Linked DNA regions of Sus scrofa. The protein of the gene in region 1 interacts with the protein of each later gene in a pairwise test. Links are inferred from orthologs where the notes say so. Each region holds a gene or a part of one and is shown in the gene's direction. Other genes may lie near its edges. The genes, in order: CHAF1A, REL and MBD1.

Region 1 (8,482 bases):
AGAGGCTCTAGAGGTAGGCTCTAGTGCTGTAGTTCTGGGGGAGGGGAAGGGAGGAGGTTCCCCTAAGGACTTTCGGTAGCATCTGGAGACATCTGCGGTTGTCACAACTGGGGGATGCTCCTGGTATCGAGTGGGTCGGGGCCAGGGATGCTACTGAACTCCCCAGACTGCCCAGGACTGCCACCACAACAGAGGATGATCTGAAGTGGAGAATTCTGTTTCTTGTGTGATCCCCAAAACACATTTAATTAAAAAACACCAAGAACATGGGTCTATGTAGACTATGTTACCACTGCTTGTGTATTTTTAAAGGAAAGGAGTACATTTATACACTTATCTTTTGTTATTGGTGACAGTCCCTGTCTCAGTGGAGAGGGGCTGGATGCCTGAGAGACTGAAGTGGGAGACCAACTTTTCAGTCTACCATTTCAACTTTGCAACGGGCCAACTGAAAAGGTTTTTTGTTTTTTAAAGACTCTAAACACAAAATTTCCCTGCCCTTGGGCTCTCTGGCAAGAGTCCTGTGTCGACAGCCTCGGGACTGCTTCCCCTTCTATCCCTTCCCCCTCCCTGCCCTTTCAGAGGGGAGGACAGGAGGAGAGGGGTCCTCGTCCGGAGCCAACCTCTGGGAGCACTTCTGCTCCTCTTAAAGGTCTGCCCACTCTTCTCATGGAGACTGGAGTCCACATGGCGGGCAGGGCCTGGGCCACCTCGCACAAGACCTCATTCCTTCTGGGCTGTCCCCATCCTGCCGGGGGACACGTGCCAACGCCGCCCCTTCGGTGCCCCCAGTCTTCTCCCGAGCCAAGACCAAGCCTGGCCTGGTCTGGCCCAGCTCCGAACAGCGTGGGGCCCGAAGTTCACCCCCTGCCTCGGCCTCTGCTCACCTGGCTCGCCTTGTAGAACTGCTTCTTCAGCCCGGCTACCGACATGCTGCCTCCTGACGTCGGGCCTCCAGCCCGGACCCAGCGAACCGGAGGGATCGCGCAAGCGACAGGCTCCCGGGCGCCGCCAACCCCCCGCGCGCCTCAGCGGGCCCCTACGGCACCGCCTCCGCCGTCCCCTCGCCAGCTCCGCGCCCGCCCCGGCACCGCCTCAGCCCTTTGCGCGCTCGCGCGGCCAGGATATTACATGGCAACCGCACACTTCCGGTGCCGGCCTCCGCGCGCGCGCCCGCGCTGCCCCGGCCCCATATGCGCACGCGCGCCCCCTGCCGGCCGGGTGGCGCAAGCGCGCTCCTACTACCGCAGAGGCCTCCTCGGTCAGTGAGTGGGCCCAGGCAAGCCTACAGGAGGAGCCTTAGCGACTGCAGCGTCCCCTGGACTCCCGGAGGTGGGCCTGACTTCTTAAGAAAGGCGGTTAGACCTTTCTGCAGAGAGGGAGGTCAAGGGACAAGTAGAACTCCAGAAGCTAAGTTTACAGAACTTTGGATGCCTGTTCACTAATCTCAGCTATAGCCAGTTCTTCTGTGCGTCTAGTACCTTCCACCATCATCGCGTCCTGCCCAGTGTTCATCTATTCAGTTGCCCAAGTCAGACATCAGGGTATCTCTTGTACCTCCTTTCCACTATCCCACCCCCAACTCTCTTCTCTGCCCTGATCAGACCATTCCACCAGCCTCCTCTCTGATGTGCCCACCTTCAGGTTCTTGCCTCCAATTCATTGCCTACAAGGCAACCAGAAAGATGCTTCTATGACACAATTCAGATCACATCAGCCCTCTGTTTAAAGTCCACCTACTGGCCTTAGAATACACTACCAATTTCCTAGGATGGCCTACAAAGCTTGCATAATTTGGCCCCCATCATCTTTTCTGGGTTTTTGTTTTTGTTTTGTTTTGTTTTTTAGGGCCACGCCTGTGGCATATGGAGGTTCCCAGGCTAGGGGTCTAATCGGAGCTGTAGCTGTGGACCTATGCCACAGCCCATGGCAAAGCCGGATCCTTAACCCACCAAGCCAGGCCAGGGATTGAACCTGCAACCTCACGGTTCCTAGTCGGATTCATTTCTGCTGTGCCATGATGGGAACTCCCCCATCACCTTTTCTGATTTCAGCTGTCTTCATCTATAATCCATGTGTTTTGCTAACATTGTTCCTCTCTTGCATATTCTTCCCCAATCTTTTCCCTTTTCCTTGTGCCTAAGAGGACTCTTTGCAATGGCACCTCCTCCAGGAAGCCTTCTCAGATTGATAAATGTTTACTGATATTGACTTTTTTAACCAACTGTTATTTTATTGAATGAAGTGGAAATTAATAGTGAATTGAAGTGAATAAATGAATCCAAAAAGAAGAATAATAAAATGACCAGAGCTAAAGTGCTTGCAATTTCATTTCCAAAATCTCTGACAGAGTTGAGTGCTTTTGTAAAGCAGAGGATTGCTAGAAGTTTCCAAGTGCCTCAATGGTAGGTCCTGGGCTAGATTAGAGGATTGCTTCGCAATAGGCAGGCTCCAACCTCTTTCCCCAAGATCCTGATGAGGCTATTATTAATAGTTTGAAATTTTTTCCATGTGATTCTGATGGGCATCCTGAAGGGTGATGCACTAGTCTCAATCATTTCAGATGTCAGAATGTTAGAGAAGGAAGGGAAAACATCCTAATGGTTCAGAGGGAGAAACTGAGGTCTTGAGTAAGACACGACTTACTTGCCTAAAGCGATGTCCTCGAATTTCCTATTTTTCCACATGATTTACAACAATCATACTGATTTAATTATCCAATTTACAGGATAAATAGAATTCCAAAATTGGGCTAAATTTTACTATTCTCACTTCTGCTCTGCTTGAGCGATAAATAGATGCTGAAGAAAACCTGTTCTAAGGCTCACAGACTGATTCTGAAGGTCTCTGTTCTGTGAGAGGCTTTTAATTTATCCGGTCACAGTTTAATCAAATGGTATTTAATGTATTCACTCATATATATATATTGGGTACCTACTACTGCGTAAGTCATCAATAGGTCCTGAGGATACCATGATAAATGATTTTTGCCTTCATGGAGCTAATGATAAAAACAGGAATTAATTCATTAACCAATAACACGCTAATAAATAAACACAAGGTGTAATTATTCCAAGAAAAATGACTGTGTTGTAGGAACTTCATGTTGTTGGGGTAGGGGAGAAAAGGCTTCTCTGGGGTTTTGATCTAAGATCTGAAAGTTAGGTAAAAATCAACCAGGAAAAGAGCTGAGGAAAGAGTGTTCCAGGCGAAGAAACAGCCTATGCAAAACCCTGAGGGATTAAACCAGAAACATTCATTTCATTCGTTCCCTCTGAATATATTCACTGCATCTCAAATGCTTCTGAAGCGATGCCTAGAGTTTATTTATTCTATTTTTATTATTCGTATTAAAAGAGTTCATAATTTTAATTTCTGTTGCTATGTGTGCAGCCTATATCCAATTACGACTTAAAAAAACTTCAGTCTTCAGCTAAATCGCAGTTTCAGGCTGTCTCTGGTGCCCTGTGTAAAGCGTTTTGTCACGACGTAGGAACCTGGCCCTTCCTCCTCCCACTCCCCACCCACATACCCCAGCAATCAACCAATAACAGTGTCGATTCTCAGATTGATATCACCCTCCCCCAATCACAGGGCACATGTTCACCGCCAATGACAGGCTGCCGAGGGGGACACCCCGCCCTCAGCGGGAATATCAATAGGGGAGCCCTGGGAGTAATGGAAGCCTCGGCTCTCGCGAGGATTCTCCCGGAGCACCCCTCTTCCCGAGGAAGCGCGTCACGTGATGCGGCCTCACCCAATCGGCGCATCGGCCGCGGGGGTCGCCGCGGTTCCCGCCAAATACGAGCGCGGCGGCCGCGGTAGCAGCGGCGCGGGCGGGAGGGCGAGCAGCAGCGGCCGCCTCAGCGGAGCCCGCGCCTCCTCCGCCTGAGGGGAGTTCGAGACGCTGCCGGGACAATGCTGGAGGAGCCGGAGTGCGGGGCGCCAGGCGCCCGGGGAGCCGCTGCAGGTCGGTTCCGGCACGCGCGGAGGGGAAGGGGGGGCGCGGCGTGCGGCCTGTGAGGGCCGAGGCGGCAGTTGGGGGCGGACGGGCCTCCAGTCCCGGGCCCTCTCCTCGGCTCCTCGCGTTCGGTCCGTGGAGCTTACAGTCCCAAGGAAGGGCCTTGGGACTCAAAGGGCGCTCTTCTTGACGTTATTGTAGCCGCGACCATTTTCTCCCGGCGCTTTTGCCGTCAGTTCGCCCTTCCAGGGCGCTCTGCGGTGACGGGTGTGTGTGGCCAGGAGGGGAAACGGAGGCCCAGAGAGGCGAAAAAGCCGGCTTTGGAAGTTACCGAGTGCGTTTGTGTCCCTTGATAAGTTGGACGCTGCAGCGGCCCCAAAACTGGGTGGAGAAACGGAGGTCCAGGGTCACAAGGGCTCGGGGACCAGAACAGTTGCGTCTGCGGGTCAGGGCAAGCCCAGGTAAGAGGCCCGGATGATAAGGGTCCCGGGTTCTTGATGCTGCCGACCTGTCTTTCTCCTTACTCTGTCTTGGGAGGGGGCTTTCTGGCAGGCCCTCAAGATGGGGGGTGGTGAACCACGGAAGACCAGACGACTTGACTCCTTTTACCCCCAGCACTTGGCAAAATGCTTGGCATGTAGTAGCTGCTCAATAAATGTGGGTTGTTTGAATGAAGGGTTGGCAGGGACCTCAACTAGACTAGTCCAGGGTTTCTCAATCTCAGCACTATTGACATTTGGGGCCGTCCTGTGCATTGTAGGGTGTCTAGCAGCATCCCTGGTCTCCACCCATTAGATCTCAGTAGCAACACTTCCTTCCTAGTTGTGACAATAATGTATCCTAGGCACTGTCAAGGGGCCCCCTAATTGAGAACCACTGTGCTAATTGTTTCCAGACTTTGGGATTTTAAATAGACATAGAATTTATGAAATAAAGTTGGGACCGATTGTCATGGACAGTCATTTGACCGAGTAAGGGTCAATTAAATGGTTAATTAGAAAATTTTAAAAGCACCATCTGTTATGATCATAATACCATAAAAGAGAAAGATGTCTTAATGCTAAATAAAACTAGAAAGAAAATAATTTCAATAAAGAGCAGTGGTAAGTTTATATACACAAATGTGTTAATTGTTATGTATATGTTTGAACAAGCCGCGTCCCTAGATGAGATCCATTTTACATCGACCTGAGGTTGCTTCTGGGCCCAGGTCACTTTTGCTGCACTTGCATTAAAGCTGGTGACTCAGGGACATGCCAATAAATCCTGCAGTTAAACTAAAAATAAATTTAAATTTAAGTGGCTAAGTTAATGTATCCTTTAGCTAGCAGTGGGAAGGTTTTGTTTGTTTGTTTGTTTTTGGTAACTGAAAACTTGAGAATGATATCTTGAAATGGGTGGAGAGGATATGTGAGTCTTCTGGGTACCTTTCTTATATTCCAAGCTTGGAAAGGGGATAGGGCAGCTTCATCTAACGGACAGTTGAGTTTTTAGAAAGCCCCAATCTGCTTTTTAAAAGTACTCATATACATATATATATATATATATATATATATATATATATATATATACACACATACACACACACACACACACACACACATACACACACACTACACATATATATTTTAACTTATATTGGCCAGAATAACTAAATTAGACTTTTCTAAGCCAAATCTAGCAGTTGTCAGCTTCTAAATTTATTCTAGCCATTTCAAGATACCTATCCAAAGATTTGTCTCTATTATGTGCATTTCCCCATCAGCTTTGATATTGTTAGATACTTTTTTTCCGAAGTGTGTGTGTGCAGGAAAACATTCCCCTTGTCATTTCCTTTTTTTTTCCTTCTCTTTACGGCCGCACCTGCCACACATGGAAGTTCCTGGGCCAGGGGTTGAATTGGCGATGCGGCTGGGACCTACACCATGAGCACGGAAACATGGATCCAAGCCGCATCTGGCTCTGTAACCCCCTGAGCGAGACCCAGGGATCAAACTTGCATCCTCACAGAGACAACATGGGTCCTTAACCCACACCTGTGGCATAGAGAAGTTCCCAGCTGCTGGCCTACACCACAGCCACAGCAATGCAGGATCTGAGCCATGTCTGCAACACGACCTACACCACAGCTCACGGCAACGTTTGTTCCTTAACCCACTGAGTGAGGCCAGGGATCCTACTGCATCCTCATGAATACTAATTGTGTTTGTTACCTCTAAGCCACAACGGGAACTCCTCCTTGTCATTTCTTGACAGTACTTTAGCTCCAGTCTGGCAAGCTCTGGAAATGCTTTAGTTATATTACCTTTATAACTGTTTTATTTTTATTTTTTATTTTTTTTTTTTTTTTTGTCTTTTTGCTATTTCTTTGGGCCGCTTCCGCGGCATATGGAGGTTCCCAGGCTAGGGGTCGAATCGGAGGTGTAGCCACCGGCCTACGCCAGAGCCACAGCAACGCAGGATCCGAGCCGCGTCTGCGACCTACACCACAGCTCACGGCAACGCCGGATCGTTAACCCACTGAGCAAGGGCAGGGACCGAACCCGCGACCTCATGGTTCCTAGTCGGATTTGTTAACCACTGCGCCATGACGGGAACTCCATAACTCTGTTTTAAAAGAAAATAAACCTTATTCTAATTGTACAGATTTGTTTGTGGGGATTAGAGGGGGATGTTTTGATTTGGGGTCATATTAATGGTAAAATCCATGATACAGTGTTTTCTCTCATCTCTACTTTTATTCAGTCCTCTTTTCATTGTCCTTTTTATTGTGTTTGTTGATTTCTCACTGTGTGCCAAACCCAAGCCCGTGCTACAGATACAGTTTGGAACCAGTCTCTCTGCTGTCACAGAACTGGCTTCTGTCGCAGGAAGACATAAACACAGAAGTCTCAGAGTGATAATTGCTCAAGGAAGATAAAACAAGAAGATGTCACATTGTCCAAGGCAGAATTTCTCAATCTCTTAACATTTGGGGCCAGATAATTCTCTGTCGTGGGGGACTATCCTGTGTATTGCAGAATATTTAGCAGTATCCCTATCTCCTACCCACTAGATGCCAGTAGCACCATCTCTCCAGTCATCACAACCAAAAATGTCCTTAGACATGGCCAAATGTTCCTGGGAGTGGGGAGAACAAAATCAACCCCCTGAACAACCACTTTCTACATAGCAGGTACTATATATGTATTTGCTACTTTATTATTTCCAATATCTAATAAATTACTCTTTGCCACTTATTTCACAGCCATGGATTGCAAAGACAGACCAGCTTTTCCAGTCAAGAAGTTAATACAAGGTAACTTTCTGGGGATGGGTTAAATATTTGGTCCTAGTTTATATCCTTCATTGTCTTCTCCATTGCATTTTTAATTCCCCTTGAGCAGAGGCCTTCTCTTGGGGTTCTCAGCAGAAGTATCAATGGGCTGGAAGGAAGAAAACAGTTGCATCTTACAGTTGGAAGCTAGGAAACCCATTTCATTACACCTCTGTTCCCTGGAGCAAATCCTTTATAATTGGGTTTCTCAAAGTAAGCACTATTGACGTCTTGTAATTTTTTTGTCATGAGGAGGCTATTTTGTATACTGTAGAGAGTTTAGCAGCATTCCTGGCCTCTTCTTTCAACTGTCAACCAGTAATGGCTCCAGACATTGCCAGATGTCCCCTGGCAGGCATAGCTACCCATGGTTGAACCATTTTTTATGAAAAGTGTCCCTAATCCCTTTTGTGTGGGGGGGTGGAGAATGGGTTTATACTTAGGCCAAATTAGTGGTTAGATTGTATTTTTAAAAGGAAGGTTTCTGGGTTTTTTTGTTTTTTTTTTTTTGTCTTTTTGCCATTTCTTGGGCCGTTCCCACGGCATATGGAGGTTCCCAGGCTAGGGGTCTAATCGGAGCTGTATTCTCCGGCCTACGCCAGAGCCACAGCAACGCGGGATCCGAGCTGCATCTGCAACCTACACCACAGCTCCCGGCAACGCCGGATCGTTAACCCACTGAGCAAGGGCAGGGACCGAACCCGCAACCTCATGGTTCCTAGTCGGATTCGTTAACCACTGTGCCACGACGGGAACTCCGGTTTCTGGTTTTTTTAAAGCTTGATTATTTGGTTCCCCTGTAGCAGTTTGCCTTATCCTGTGACAACTGAGTTTAATATTGCCGAAAATCATATTAAGGACTGCCATCTTCTGGGGTTAAAGGATTAGGGGCAAACTACAGAATTTTGAGAGTAAGATTATTTTATAAATAGCTCCAGGACAAGTTTATTTGTTTAGTCTATTACATTAGAAAACAGTTAATGAGATGTTTTGGCATTTGAGTAAATGTGGGCTTCTTGGGAAGTCACCCATTTCAGTTTCCTTATCTCCTGAGCTGTTGCCATGTATCTCTTAGAACCAGCCAGAAGGCTGGCATGCAATAGGAGGATACTTGTTTCATTGAGAAGAGAAGCTAATAGCCTGGGATGCTAGAGGCGGAGAGAAATCTTTCCATAAACAGATCAATCTCTTTTGCTTTTCAGAAT
Region 2 (7,806 bases), on another chromosome or scaffold:
CAGAGTTATAGCCGCCCTGTCTACGCCACAGCAGCGCCAGATCCGAGCCACGTCTGCGACCTAGACCACAGCTCATGGCAACGCCAGGTCCTTAACCCACTGAGCAAGGCCAGGGATAGGACCTGAGTCCTCGTGGATACTAGTCAGATTTGTTTCTGCAGAGCCGTGACAGACACTCCTAGATTTCTTTTAAATAGCAATTTATCTAACTGTCGTTATATTATATTCTGTTATAAAGAATGTTTTTAGGGAGTTCTCTGGTGGCTCAGCAGGTTAAGGATCCAGTGTTATCACTGCTGTGGCCTGGGTCACTGCTGTGGCAAGGGTTAGATCCCTGGCCTGGCAACTTCCACACATTTAAAAAAAAAAAGAAAAAGTTTTTTAAAAAAGTTTTCAAAACTGTAAAATTTCCCTACTATAGGTTTTTGGTTTTTTTAAATACGTAAACCTAGTTTGCCCATAAAATTTCTTAAGGAAACTATCTGCCTTACCTCACCTAGTATCCCTGTTAGTATTTAATCCCTAAAATATTGATCTAAATTTTATTTAGATTTTCCTGTATATGTCATTTTTATGCAAAATTTATGTAAAATTTTCTAATAAACTTTTAAGAGCAAAGGTTCTCAATTCAATGGCCTGAATTTGAATTCCTGCTATAGCACTTCTTAGGTATGACACTTTGGACAAGTAATTTAATTTCTTTAAAATCAGTTCCTCATCTGGAAAATAGAGTAATTTTTATGCAGATTTTGGAGATAATTTACAGAGTCCTTAACATGTGAGTTGACTAAATACATATTTGTTAAATTAATGAATGAATGCCTACTCTCTGTTGTATGTAACTGGCAACCATTTTGTAAAAATTTGATTTATGTCAATTTTAGATTCTGCACTAAATTCCAGGTGACTGGGATAGTTACTTCCTGACCATGGCTGTAACTTAATGAACTATGTTTAGTAGTGACCACATAATGAAAAAGATAAAAGGCAATTGTGTACCTTTCTGTTTTCATTAGTACAGATTCAGATGCTGCTGAGGGTTATTGCCTATATTGGGCAGGGAGAGGGGTTTAGCAGGATTTTAGTTCTGTGTGACTATTCTGTATTTTTTTTTTTAATGTACTATTCAGTTCCTGAACAACAGCTGCTTGATATTGAAGACTGTGACCTCAATGTGGTGAGATTATGTTTTCAAGTTTTCCTCCCTGATGAACATGGTAATTTGACAAGTGCTCTACCTCCTGTTGTCTCTAATCCAATTTATGATAACCGTAAGTAATTTATTTTTTTGTATATGCAGCCTTAGCTTTTTAAAAATGATTTTTAAAGTATTTTGGTAATTAGAAAAATAATGTATTCATTATAGGAGAAGTTCAAACATTACTGATGTTGATAACAAGGAGAGTAAATCTCCTATAATCTCATCCTCCAAGATGTTTTACCACTTTCTTCATCATGCATATGCAAATACCTTGTGATCATCATCATACAAGCAGTATGTTTTTGGCAACTTTTTGAAAAATCGTCATTGGTTTTTTTTACTTTTTTTTTTTTTCCTCTTAGCAACATACCTTGAACTTCTTTTCCTTTGAGGTATCTTATTCTTTTCAGTAGCTACATATTTCCTTATACGGCTGTATCATAATTTTACTAAATCATGACCCTACTACAAGACATTTGGGTTGTTTCCTTCTCACTTTCTTCTTTTTGCTTTAAAAAATTGTATTGCAATAAATATCCTATATGTGCATATCTTGTGCAAATCTCTCTAGCATCAATTTGCAGAAGTAGAAATACTGGCAAAGGCTAAATCAAAGGATATGGATATTTAAAGTTTTAAAAGATTATGAAATTGCCCTCAAATGTTTTATCTTTGTGTCTGTGTGTATCTCTTATATATGCACCCACCAATGATGTATAACTTCACCTGTTTTGCATGTTAGAAGGATAGTGTCTGGGACAGAGGGCTGTATAGGTAGATCAGAGTATCTTCATCACGGAGAGCTTTGAATACCAGGAAGTTTTTGGAAAAATATTGACCAGATTATGGGAAGCATGAGAGTTGCATTTCCATAGGGTTGTGGTCATAATTTTAAAAAATTAATCTGGTGACTGCGTATAGGATGGATAGGAAGAATCAGGATTTAGAAGCAAGCAGATTTTTTTTTTTTTTTTTTTTTTTTTTTTGGTCGCATCTATAGCATACAGAAGTTCCTGGGTCAGGGATCACACCCATGCCACAGCAGTGACAGCGTTGGCCCCTTAACACACTGGGCCATAAGAGAACTCCCGGAAGCACAGAGATTTAATTAGAGGACATGTCATTGCCTAGAAATGAAGTCATAAGGCTCTAAAGCAGTTTGGGCAATGCCCTTAGGAAAAGAAAGAAGTAGATGTGGATGATTAAGGTATTTAGTGTCCTTTATTTATACACTAATGCATTTGTCTATCCTATAAATTTTTTTCCTAAAACTGTCCATCAAAAAGGAATAAAACATACTACTAACATGGCAACCCATTTAAAAAAAAAAAACCTTTATATGTAGGTGCTCCAAATACTGCGGAATTAAGGATTTGTCGTGTAAATAAGAACTGTGGAAGTGTCAGAGGAGGAGATGAAATATTTCTACTCTGTGACAAAGTACAGAAAGGTATTTTTTTTTGTTTCTTTTTTGTTTCATTAAATTCGGAATATATTTTAGATTAATAGATCTTACCTTGTTTTCCCATTGTTATTTGCTTTTGTATTCCCTAGATGACATAGAAGTTCGGTTTGTGTTGAATGATTGGGAGGCAAAAGGTATCTTTTCACAAGCCGATGTACACCGCCAAGTAGCCATCGTTTTCAAGACTCCACCATATTGCAAAGCTATAATAGAACCAGTAACAGTAAAAATGCAGTTACGGAGACCTTCTGACCAGGAAGTTAGTGAATCTATGGATTTTAGATATCTGCCAGATGAAAAAGGTATGGCTTTTTCATGTTAAGGTTTTATATATGTCTTTTCTTTTTTTTTTGTCTTTGTCTTTTCAGGGTGGCACCCATGGCATATGGAGGTTCCCAGGCTAGGGGTCAAATTGAAGCTGTAGCTGCCAGCCTACACTACAGCCACAGCAACTCCAGATCCAAGCCACATCTGCGACCTACACCACAGCTCACAGCAGCGCCAGATCCTTAACCCACTGACTGAGGCCAGGGATCGAACCCTCATCCTCATGGATGATAGTCAGATTCATTTCCGCTGAGCACAACAGGAATTCCTGTTTTATGTATTTCTTAAAGTTAGTCCTACTAATAACATTTTCTTGTAAGATATATTTGAATACAGTTATGCTTATTCATAATTTATGGTTCTTTTCCTGAAAGTTTTTGGTTGATTTTTGACTGTTCTTTTTTGCTCTGTGAATCTCTTTCTTAGAAAAGGAACCTGGAATAATTTCAAAGTATCTAAACTGTTTATCAAAATTTATTTTATATTTGAGATTCTATTTTGGTCCTTACTGTGTCCTCTGGATAGATGGCAAACTTGTCACTCAGAAAGTGGTCTCTGGAATTCCCTGGTGGCACATTGGGTCAAGGATCCAGTGTTATCAGGTTAGATCCCTGGCCTGGGAACTTCCACATGCCACAGGTGTGGCCAAAAAAAAGTGGTCTCCATTTTGGTCCTTATCTGCCCTTACTGCCTTAATTGACACTGGTGACTCATAGGTGTTACAAGAAAATTAAATGACTATTACAGACTTTTTTTTTGGTCTTTTTAGGGCTGCACCCCCAGCATATGGAAGTTCCCAGGCTAGGAGCTGTATCCGCTGGCCTGCGCCACAGCTGCAGCGACACAGGATATCAGCCACATCTGTGACCTAGACCACAGCCCACAGCAACACCAGATCCTTAACCCACTGAGAGGGCCCAGGGACTGAACCCTCGTCCTCATAGATACTAGTCATGTTCATTACCACTGAGCCATGATGGGAACTCCTAGACTGTTTTTTTACTAAGAGAAAAAATCCTTTATTACTGACTTGGGACATACTTTGTGACACTTATAAACCCATTTTATGAACATTTATTTAACGTACTTTCTATATAGAACTAAAACATCTATATATTTATTAAAAGAGAGGAAGCATAATCCCATGATGATTCACATGCTTTCCTGGTTTCTTTCTAACCAGATACATATGGCAATAAAGCAAAGAAACAAAAAACAACTCTACTTTTCCAGAAACTGTGGCAGGATTGTGGTAAGAACATTTTGGATTGATTTGTATTTAAATAAGTTTGAGGAGGGTTTTTTTGTTTGTTTGTTTTTTGGGGTTTCTTTTTCTTTATGTAGTTTTTCATATTTTAACTGATAACTGTTATTTTTCAAACTGCATTTGTAATTTTTTTTGCTCTTTAGGGCTGCACAAGCGGCATATGGAAGTTCCCAGGCTAAGGGTCTAATTGGAGCTGTAGCCGCCATCCTACACCACAGCCACAGCAATGCCACATCTGAGCCACAGCTGTGACCCACACCATAGCTCCCAGCAATGTGGGATCCTTAACCCACTAAGCAAGGTCAAGGATCGAACCCTCATCCTCATGGATACTCATCGGGTTCGTTAACCACTGAGCCATGATGAGAACTCCCAAACTGCATTTATGATAATGGAAAAATTTTATTGCAGGAGTTAATTTTCCTGAAAGACCTAGACCTAATCCCCTAGGAACAATGGGAGAAGGAAGATTCATCAAAAAAGGTATTTATTCCCTATACAGAATTTCTTGAGATCAGTGCTTTGCACAGGATATTGGAATTTCATTCTGAAGAATGAAAACCACCTCTTTGATATAGTCTATCTACTCATGTATTTTTTTTTTCATGCTCAGAATATTGATTGAATAGATCTCAGCTTCTGAAAGTGTCCTGTTGGCAACTACAATTAAATTTGGGGGATTTATTGTTTGGGATTTTACTAATTACAGTGTGTCATGGAAGAAATGGTTTAGATCTTGCCAGGTGCCTATCTTTATTTATTTGTAAGGTTTTACTATAACACAGTCCATCTGATTGAATATCGTCTATGGATGATTTTCTTATACCAGAGCAGCAGAGTTGAGTAGTTCCACAGAGACTCTATGGCCCACCATGCCTAAAATATTTACTATCCAGCCCTTTGCACAAAAACAGGTTGCCAATTTCTGATTTAGATCATTCTGCTAGGGTTAATTAGAAATCTTTTCTTCTTTTTTATATTCTTAAATCAGTACTTTTTCTTAGTTTAATATGCACAGCAGTCATATAACATGTAAATAAATACAGACTCCATTTTTTATTTAAAGTTTTATTAAAGTATAGTTTTACAATGTTAATGATAATTCATTCATTTTTTTTCTGTCTGGGAATTTTGTAGTGCCTTAGAGTGAGTTATATCTTACTATAGCTTAGAAATTTATGTGGATTTTTCAATCACGATAATGAATGTTTCCTCCGTCCCTCAGTTGTTCTCCTAAAACTGGAGAATATGAAATGACTTTTACTCTTTGGAGACCCATTAACTGAAATTCTGATATTTATCTTTCACAGTTCAAAAATACCTTTTTTTTTTTTTTTGCTTTTTACGGCCACACTTGTGGCATATGGAGGTTTCCAGGCTAGGGGTCTCATCGGAGCTACAGCTGCCAGCCTACACCATAGCTGCAGCAACACAGGATCTGAGCCGCATCTGTGACCTACACCACAGCTCATGACAGCGCCAGATCCTTAACCCACTGAGAGAGGCCAGGGATCGAACCTGCAACCTCACGGTTCCTAGTCAGATTCGTTTCCAATGCGCCACGACAGGAACTCCCAAAATACCTTTATAGGACCTTGGAAATTATATTTTCACAATTAACTGGAATGAAATTTTCTATGCCAAAATAACCAAAATCATTTTATAGGTATTTGTGAAACAATAAGCATTAGAGAAGTCAATTCTGGACTCCTGTAATAGTTACCATTTTTATTTGAAATGTTACATTAATTTCCTTGAAAATTTTTAGTGTGTTTATGTAATTTTAATTTAGAAATAATACTTTTAATAATTTCGTTCATTTCAGTTTTGTAAAAATACATTTCATCTCCCACAGAATCAAACTTGTTTTCTCATGGTGCAGTTTTGACAGAAACATCCAGGCCAGTTTCAAGTCAAGCAGAATCCTACTATTCCTCATCCATCTCAAGTGCATTGTCACATCCTGCTTCAACCATACCCACAATGGTACCTCAGCCTTCTTCAAGCTGGTCATCAGTGGCCCGCCCCACCTCACGCTCAGTCAATACAAATTCACTGAGTGGTTTCTCACCAGGGACCCTTTCCTCTAATTCACATGTTATCACGCCATTCCTGGAAATGCCTGTTATGAATGATCTGAATACTTCTAATGCTTGCATTTATAATAATACAAATGACATAGGCAGAATGGAAGCATCGTCTGTGTCACCAGCTGACTTATATGGTATTTCTGATGCCAGCATGCTGCCTCATTGTCCTGTGAACATGATAACGCCCAGTAACGACAGCATGAGGGAGACTGATAATCCGAGACTTGTGAGCGTGAATCTTGAAAACCCTTCCTGTAATTCAGTGTTAGACCCAAGAGACTTGAGACAGCTCCATCAGATGTCGTCTTCCAGTATGTCAACAGTCACCAGCTCCAGTACTACTGCTTTTGTTTCCCAGTCAGAGGCATTTGAGGGATCTGACTTTAATTGTGCAGATAACAGTATGATAAACGAGTCAGGACCATCAAACAGTACTAATCCAAACAGTCATGGTTTTGTTCAAAATAGTCAGTATTCAGGTATTGGCACTACGCAGAATGAACAATTGAGTGACTCATTTGCATTTGAGTTTTTTTAGGTTAACTTGTAAGATTTAAATGGTGAATTAATTAAATCTCTTGGAGTTCCCATTGTGGCTCAGTGAAAATGAACCTGACCAGTGTCCATGATGATGCAGGTTCAATCCCAGGCCTTGCTCAGTGGGTTAAGGATTTGGTATTGCCACAAGCTTCCATGTAGGTTGCAGACGTGGTTTGGATCTCACTTTGCTGGGGCATGGGCTGGCAGCTTGAGCGCCAGTTCGACCCCTAGCCTGGGAACTTCCATATGCCGTGGGTGCGGCCATAAAAATTTTAAAAATAAAAAACAAAATAAAGGAAACTTCTAAAAAAAGAATTCAATCTCTTTAAAGGTTGTCACCATTTTGATTTTATCTATGTAGATGCAAAATTTTATATTTCTCTGACTACAACTGTGACACAAGGGAGTTTTTTGGTTATGTTTTAGGGATGATAGTTCAAAAACATATTTATCAGAGGGAATAGTATCTTGAACAACACATGTTTGAACTGTGTGGTCCATTGTGCAGTACACAGATTTTTTTTTTACTGTTCAAGTACTGCAGTACTACACGATTTGAGACGGGCTGAATTCATGGATGCAGAATTGCAGAGACAGGAGGCCATCTGTAGAGTTTTAAAGTTAAACATGGATTTTCCACTGTACAGAGGCTCAGTGCCCCAACCCCTGTGTTGTTCAAGGGTCAACTGTAATTATAACTTTAGGTATGTAGAGGATGGATTGCTCTAACAGGCAGTCTTGGCTTGGGAGCTTCTTGTTTTGCTGGCAGAGAATTTGTCGAGATAAAATGAAAGATGAATTCTCAGTGCTTGAAGCTGCAGCTTAAAAAGGGAGATGAACTCATTTCCCACTTTCAGGAAGAGCTAGAAAAATTTGTCCAGCATTTACAGAAGACTTTTGCTTCAAAAGTAGATAA
Region 3 (7,806 bases), on another chromosome or scaffold:
TATACTTTGTATTGTATGTAGTTGCCTTTATTTATTTACAAATGTATGTACATTTACATGTATGCTTGTTTGTATACAGTTGACCCTTGAACAATGCTGGGATCTGGGGTGCCATTCCCCTGTGCAGTGGAAAATCCACGTATAATTTTTGACTCCTTAAAAACTTGATTAGTAGTAGCCTAATGTTGAGCTGCTAATGAATGAATTTTTATAATTTTTTTATGGCATAAAGTGTTGTAATCCTGTTCATAATACAGTATTGGAAACATTGTTACATTTTTAACAATACCACTTACCTGTGATGATAGGCAATTTCTCTAATTACCAGAGAGAGAAGCATACTGTACGGTAATGTAATTCTTTGAAAACAAAGTTGTAAGACAGTAAGAAAACTAATACATTAATTTTGTATTAAATATTACTCACCTCATGCCTCTAAAAGGATAAGCTATCCACTTCAAGTCTTGCACAGATGAATACATGATGATGATGACACAAAAACATCTCATACAGTTCTTGCTGTATAGTTGTTAGATTTTTCACATGAAGATACATGCAAACACGATAAATAAATATTAACTGTACAGCCTGATGATTATTTACTATTCATTAAGTGGAAGTGGATCATCATAAAGGTCTTCATCTTTGTTGTCTTCATGTTGAGTAGGCTGAGGAGGAGGAGGAAGGGAGGGATATGGTCTTGCTGAGGAGGGGTGGCAGAGGCAGAAGGAGGAGGAGGAGGAGGTGAGGAGGAGAGGCAAGCGCATTTGGTATAACCTTACAGAAATACATCATAATTTCTATTTGACTTTTTTTGCTTTTTGATTTCTCCAAAAATGTTTCTACACAGTACCAATCTTTCTTCTACCGTTTGCTTTAGTTTCAGTGTATATCATAGAAGGGTCCATGTTGTAAAAGAAATCAAATCCTTCTGCTAGATTGTCTCATGTCAGTTTTTTCTGGCACTATTTTTCCTTCATCTTCTTCCTCATCATCTGGTACTGGTTCAGCAGCATTTATCTCCATCAAATCATCTAGTGTTAGTTCCTCTGGTGTGGTGTCTCTTAGCTCTTGAATCCAAGATCCATTTCTTGAAACCCTTCATCCCCTCCCTTCTTTTTGCTGAATCTGTAATCTCTTTCATGATTTCCTTGATTGACTTGGTCATAAATCCCATGAAGTCATGCACAACATCTGGACATAGTTTTCTCCAGCAGGAATTTACTGTTTGGGGCTTGATAACGTTCATGATGTTCCCTTTATCAGAATTCTTTTCCATAGTGTTGACAATTCTTTTCATTGAGTACCATGTGTAAAGAGCCTTAAAGTTCCTTGTGACCACCCAATCTAGAGGCTGAATGTTTGAGGGCATATAGACTACTTCATTGCCTTTGGTATTGAACTCATGGTACTCTGGATGTCCAAGGACATTGTCCAAAAGAACTTTAAAAGCTGACTTTTAAAGTTCTTCTTGACTTCAGGGATATAGCATTGATGGAACCAATCCAGAGAAAGGGTTCTCACTGTCCAGGCCTTCTTGTACAATGAAAGACTGGCAGCTGGTGTTTATCTATTCCCTCTAAGGCTCAAGGGTTATCAGTTTTATAGATAAGGACAGTCCTGATCATGAACTTGACTGCATTTGCACAAAACAGTAGAGTTAGCCTATCTCTTCCTGCTTCAAATCCTGTTGCTCACTTCTCTTCCTTACAAATATCCAGGTATCCTTTGCAGTATTTCCCCCCCCCCCCGAATGTGGCACTTTTGTTTGCATTAAAAACCTATTCAGGCAAATATCCTTTCTCCTCAATGATTTTCTTAATGGCATCTGGGAACTTGTCTGCTGCCTCTTGGTTAACAGAGGCACTTTTTCTTTATCTTGATATTTTCTAAGCCAAACCTCTTTGTAAAATTATCAAACCATCCTTTGCTGGTATTAAATTCTTCAGCTTTAGAGCCTTCACCTTCCTGTGGCTTTAAGTTGTCATGTAACGACTTTGTCTGGAATCCTGTTGAAATGTATAGGTATAGCTTTCTTATAGCAATCCTGCACCCACATTAAAGTTGCATTTTCAGTACAAGATTAAAAGGTATATTGCAAAAAGTGCGTTTTCACGCCTGCTGGCGTAGCTGCAGTGACAGCTTCATGAATTTCCTTTTTTTTTTTTACAATAGTCCTTACGCTGGATTCATTAATCTTGAATTGGCGGGCAACCACAGCTGCAGACCTCAATCTACGGTACATATCAAGCAATTCAACTTTTTCTTGTAATGTCATGACTTTTCTTTCCTTCTTGGGAGCATTTTTAGCATCCATAGCCACACTTTGTGTGGTTCCCATAGTGTTATTCAAGGCTTACAGTATTGCAATAAAGATGATGAAAATGACGCAAGGACTGCAAGGGGTCACTTTCTACTGTGATGCGCAATTTACTGGAGAAACAAACTGCTTACTTGGAGATGATTTGCCTTCTGTGGCATTTTAAGCAGATTCTCGCAACACTTGAACTCACTTCAATAGCAACAGGAGGTAGCTATGGGATGATTACAGTGGTACGACATGTACTACAGTTAATTTTATGCAGTTATGATGTAATACTGCATTTTTATGTTTGTTTACATTTCTCTTGACTGTGAATGGTGCCATGTAGTCTTTAAGTATTTGTGTCCATACGTTTTGAAAAATTTTAACTTTTTATGATAGATTTAGGTATATTTTATGGTAGTAAATGATAAAATAGACTTTTATGCATTTATGACATACCTAACTTTATCTTAATTTTTTCAATATGTCTAGGCTACATGGTTCATCACAAATCTCCAAAAATAATTTTCCAATATAGTTACTGAAAAAAATCCATGCATAAGTGGACCCGTGTAATTCAAACCTGTGTTGTTCAAGGGCCAGCTGTTTAAAACATTTGTTTGTTTCTTTCATAAGCTTTCTTTGTTTACGTATTTAGTATGTAATGCTAACACAGTTACATATTATTTAATATATTTGTGTTCCTGTTTGTGTTTATTTTCACTTACATGGAATACCACTAGTAGCACATGTTATAAATAGGTGCATATCTGCACCTATATGTTTATGTTATTCATTAATGTTTGTACACATGTTGATATTTATACACCTTTTTTATTCCTACTGTTTAGGGTTATTTGGGGTAGGGCCTGGATGGGGCTCGTAGGCTCATCTCAGTCTGCCTCCTGTATTCCACCAGCTCTGCAGACCTATTCACCAGCCCAGTGGGAGGGTTGAGAGGGTGGAGTGGCAGTGGCTCCACCTGGGTACCAACCCATCCTGGCTACCCTCAGCCCCACAGGAGACAGGATCCGAAGCAAAGTTGAGCTCACCCGATACCTGGGCCCTGCGTGTGACCTCTCCCTCTTTGACTTCAAACAAGGCATCTTGTGCTATCCAGCCCCTAAGGTACAAGACACTGTGCGGTACCCAGGCTGGGGTGGCTGAGCTACCTAATACCCACCCACTGACATGTGTTCTTCCTGCCCTTGCTCTTATCTCCAGGCCCATTCCTTGGCTGTCCCCAGCAGGAAGCGGAAGAAGCCTTCAAAGCCAGCCAAGGCTCGGAAACGTCAGGTTGGCCCCCAAAAGAGTGAGGTCAGGAAGGAGACCCCAAGGGATGAGACCAAGGCTGACGCTAACCCAGCCCCAGCTTCACTTCCTGCACCTGGGTGAGTGTTGGTCTAGTGAGCCAAATCCATGAGGGTTGTGTTTGGGGGTACATTCAGGGCCCCACACCCATGTCTTCCATCCCAGGTGCTGTGAGAACTGTGGAATCAGCTTCTCAGGGGATGGTACCCGAAGGCAGAGGCTCAAGACTTTGTGCAAGGACTGCCGAGGTGAGTGGCCCCTGGGGCACTGGGAGGTAGAGCTGGAGCAGGCCTGGAGCTCTAAGGCTAGGAAACGGGTGTCTGGCTAGAGGTTGAATGGTAGATGTTAGGGCAGAGGCAGTGGTGAGGTCAGATATCTGATGCTCCCTTTACATTTCTCTTCTACTCTCTCCCTCCCTGAAGCACAGAGAATTGCTTTCAACCGGGAGCAGAGGATGTTTAAGGTAAGCACGACCTGCCTCCTCCTCACAGGTGTGCGGTGGGAGCAGGATGTGATGGGGGCTGGTGAGGGTCTGAAGGAGCAGTGATGAATCCGCAGGGTGTCAGGGTCATTTTGTGGGTAGCAAGCTGAAGTCAGCCGACTAAAGGGAGTGAATGGGCTGTCAGTGGATACAGGGAAATAGTAGACATTGTTACAGCCTCAGTGACGGTGGCTAATCAGTAATTTTCAGACAGTGAGGAGGCAAATGATTAGCAGACATGGTGATGGGGGCTAATATGGAGTCAGCAGACACGTGAGAGGCAGTGCTCCCAGAGCCAGTCTGCGTGGACCTGTGACCTTGCCCCACCCATTCCCGGCAGCGTGTGGGCTGTGGGGAGTGCACAGCCTGCCAGGTAACAGAAGACTGTGGGGCCTGCTCCACCTGCCTTCTGCAGTTGCCCCATGACGTGGCATCGGGGCTGTTCTGCAAGTGTGAGCAAAGACGGTGCCTCCGGATTGTGGAAAGGGTGAGTTGGGCAGGTGGGGTGGGCCCAAGGCTCACATGAGCTCCTGGTCCTCATAATCCTGGCCCCATGCATCATATCTCTGGCTCCCCCTACAGAGCCGAGGATGTGGAGTATGCCGGGGCTGTCAGACCCGAGAGGACTGTGGGCGTTGTCGAGTCTGCCTTCGCCCTCCCCGCCCTGGTCTCAGGCGCCAGTGGAAGTGCGTCCAGCGGCGTTGCTTACGGGTGAGTCAGGCTGGAGGGGCCAGTGTTGGTGGGCTGGGGCAGAGCTCATTCTGCTGTTAAAGCTGCTGCCGCTGCTACTTTCTTCCAACTTGGACTTGCCAACCTCATGTCTTCTTTTTTCTCCCACCTGTGCTCACCTCTCTGGCCCCACCTACCTGCCCCTGTCTGCCAGCACCTTGCCCATCGCCTCCGTCGCCACCATCAGCGATGTCAACGACGCCCTTCCCTAGCTGTGGCTCCCCCTGCTGTGAGTGCCCCCCCACCACACACACTCTGCCTGCCTGTCCCACACGCATGCTTTTTCTGCACATCTTGGGGAAGGAAGGTAGTCCTGTGTCTGCCTGGTGCCGCCAAGCCTAAACTATCCTTTCTGTTTTCTCTTAGGGTAAACATGGCCGCCGCAGGGGAGGCTGTGACTCCAAGGTAGCTCCACGGCGGCGGTCCCGAGCACAGCCACTGCCTCCGCTTCTCCCGTCACAGCCTCCAGAGTCTCCAGAGCTGGTGAGGCCCTAGTAGGCAGGGGGAAGGCACAACTGTAACCCGACCCAGTACCTGCCCTGACCCCACCCCATTTGCCTCTGCAGCACCCCAGAACCCTGGCCCCCTTGCCACGTGCCGAATTCATCTATTACTGTGTAGACGAGGACGAGCTAGTGAGTGGCTTCACCCTACTTGGACAACCCTAGACTCCAGGGCATTTGGTTAACGCCAAAGACACAGATGTTGCAATGGGCCTAATAAGGGAATAGTAAGGCACAGTGATGGATACCAGTATGGGAGGAGCAGACAATGGGGGAGGAACAGCAGGTGTAGTGATAGTACCTAATGTCAGGTGAACCAATACTCTGGCAGGGCTAATAAAGGAAAAGCTGGTACAGTGACTCAAGTTCATGTAGAATGAGCACACATTGCAGGCACAATGATGTGAGCTAACAGAATGTCAGCAAAATCCTGCCGGAAGCAGGCATCAGGGATATTGTCTTGGTGACTAGTAGGGGACTAGCAGGTAGAATGATGGATACTGTACTGGAGCAGCCACAGTCCTCATGGTACTGAGGGCCATCTGGTGCAGTGATGGTGCCCACTATTGGACTAGTGGGGAGTCAGGCTAAGACTAATGTGCCACCAGTTCCCTCCAGTGGGGCTAGTGGAGGAGTGACAGGAGGAACATTGTAATTGTCCTAGTGGCAGCACCCACCATCTCCCTGTTCCCCAGCAGCCTTATACGAACCGCCGGCAGAATCGCAAGTGTGGGGCCTGTACAGCCTGCCTGCGGCGGATGGACTGTGGCCACTGTGACTTCTGCTGTGACAAGCCCAAATTTGGGGGCAGCAACCAGAAGCGCCAGAAATGTCGTTGGCGCCAATGCCTGCAGTTTGCTATGGTGGGTACAGCAGGAAGGGTCATGTGGGTGGGATGAATACAGCCAGGTCTTCCAGTGCCTGGGAGGGGTGGGCAGGACTGGTAGGGGGATGGGAACAGGCCAGATGGGAACTGCAGTTTTAGAGCAGTGAATGGGGCAATGGGTTTGGCTAAGATTTGCAGACATTAGGCTGGGGTAAATGAAGAATCTGGGGGACAATGGCCTTATTAACAGGCTCGATGATGAGGGCCTCATATATAAGCAGATTCTGTGCTGGGACTAATGGGGGGATTTGCCGGCATATTGATTGGGGCAGGGTAGTGTGATTGGTCATTGTACCAGATAGCCATAACACCCCATCTCTCTTCACAGAAGCGGCTGCTGCCAAGTGTCTGGGCAGGGTCTGAGGATGGGTCAGAGCCGCCCCCACCTTACCCTCGTCGAAAAAGGCCTTGCTCTACTCGAAGGCCTCGTCTGGGTCAGACCCTGAAGCCTCCCTTGGCCACACCTACAGCCCGACGAGACCATACCCAGACTTCAATGAAGCAGGAAACGGGCGGTGGCTTTGTGCTGCCCCCACCTGGCACTGACCTTGTGTTCTTACGGGAGGGTGCAAGCAGTCCTGTGCAGGTGCCTGGCCCAGCTCCAGCTTCCACAGAAGCTTTGTTGCAGGTGAGGATCCCATGATATCCTGCCTTTCTCAACCCCACCCAGCCTCGTGCCAGGAAGCTGGGACCAAGTCTGCTGCAATCCTCCTTCACACAGGAGGCCCAGTGCCCTGGCCTGAGTTGGGTTGTGGCCTTACCCCAGGTGAAGCAAGAGAAGGCGGATGCCCAGGAAGACTGGACACCGGGCACAGCCATCCTGACTTCTCCTGTATTGCTGCCGGGCTGCCCCAGCAAGGTGGGGGCCAGTGATGGGTGGTCTGTGAGCAGAATGATGGGGAGCCATGATGGTGGTTCTTTGAGCAAAGTAACAGGCATGCTGATTACAGCCTCTCACAGAATTATCCCGCCTGTCTGATAGATGCCGCACCCTCCTCAGGCAACTAGTTTTGCCTGCTTTGCTGCCCAGCTTACAGAAAATGGAAGTCTAAGAGGAGTGGGAAAGGTTTGTAGGCAGAGAGATGGTTTTTCTGTGCTCAGGTGTGACAAAAGTGGGATTGTCAGCACAGTGACAGGTTGGCTGATAGGAACACTTTCTTCAGGCCAGCTCTGTTCTTCTGACAGCTGTCCATTTCCCACCTCTCCCAGACAGTAGATCCAGGCCTTCCAGCTGTGAAGCAAGAGCCACCTGACCCTGAGGAGGACAAGGAGGAGAACAAGGATGACTCTGCCTCTGACTTGGCCCCAGAGGAGGAGGCAGGAGGGGCTGGCACGCCCGTGGTCAGTGCTGGGGGACACCTCACCCTGCCCTGACTCTGCTTTAGCCCAGCGGCTGTGTTGACCCTGATGTTAATTCTTCCCTAGATCACGGAGATTTTCAGCCTGGGTGGAACCCGCCTCCGGGACACAGCAGTCTGGTTGCCAAGGTGTGCCCCGCACAGTGAGGGGTGGGGTGGGGCGGGTGCTGGTCAGGTGCGGGCCCTGAGTTTTGAAAGTAATAGCCAGCGTTTTGGCATGGTGTAGTGTGAGT

What was found.
Region 2: the proteins of CHAF1A (region 1) and REL interact in binary tests that used the Homo sapiens proteins (3 or more experiments, as listed by UniProt). The two-hybrid records come from large-scale screens. The link is inferred for Sus scrofa from reciprocal best matches to the Homo sapiens genes CHAF1A and REL.
Region 3: the proteins of CHAF1A (region 1) and MBD1 interact in binary tests that used the Homo sapiens proteins (3 or more experiments, as listed by UniProt). The link is inferred for Sus scrofa from reciprocal best matches to the Homo sapiens genes CHAF1A and MBD1.

The regions. Positions count from the first base shown.
Region 1 is NC_010444.4:74,407,096-74,415,577, reverse strand, and holds the start of CHAF1A (chromatin assembly factor 1 subunit A), read left to right. Parts: upstream 1-3,702; 5' UTR 3,703-3,918; coding exon 3,919-3,970; intron 3,971-7,208; coding exon 7,209-7,259; intron 7,260-8,482. Other genes in the region: SH3GL1 (endophilin-A2), read right to left, coding at 888-932. UniProt on the Homo sapiens protein: Acts as a component of the histone chaperone complex chromatin assembly factor 1 (CAF-1), which assembles histone octamers onto DNA during replication and repair.
Region 2 is NC_010445.4:80,875,437-80,883,242, reverse strand, and holds part of REL (proto-oncogene c-Rel), read left to right. Parts: intron 1-1,130; coding exon 1,131-1,271; intron 1,272-2,546; coding exon 2,547-2,651; intron 2,652-2,755; coding exon 2,756-2,968; intron 2,969-4,176; coding exon 4,177-4,245; intron 4,246-4,671; coding exon 4,672-4,743; intron 4,744-6,115; coding exon 6,116-6,888; 3' UTR 6,889-7,806. UniProt on the Homo sapiens protein: Proto-oncogene that may play a role in differentiation and lymphopoiesis.
Region 3 is NC_010443.5:99,905,822-99,913,627, reverse strand, and holds part of MBD1 (methyl-CpG-binding domain protein 1), read left to right. Parts: intron 1-2,175; exon of another isoform or gene 2,176-2,239; intron 2,240-3,318; coding exon 3,319-3,433; intron 3,434-3,529; coding exon 3,530-3,696; intron 3,697-3,781; coding exon 3,782-3,864; intron 3,865-4,038; coding exon 4,039-4,079; intron 4,080-4,437; coding exon 4,438-4,584; intron 4,585-4,679; coding exon 4,680-4,808; intron 4,809-4,980; coding exon 4,981-5,055; intron 5,056-5,192; coding exon 5,193-5,309; intron 5,310-5,392; coding exon 5,393-5,461; intron 5,462-6,024; coding exon 6,025-6,192; intron 6,193-6,543; coding exon 6,544-6,843; intron 6,844-6,936; coding exon 6,937-7,074; intron 7,075-7,424; coding exon 7,425-7,556; intron 7,557-7,640; coding exon 7,641-7,702; intron 7,703-7,806. UniProt on the Homo sapiens protein: Transcriptional repressor that binds CpG islands in promoters where the DNA is methylated at position 5 of cytosine within CpG dinucleotides. Binding is abolished by the presence of 7-mG that is produced by DNA damage by methylmethanesulfonate (MMS).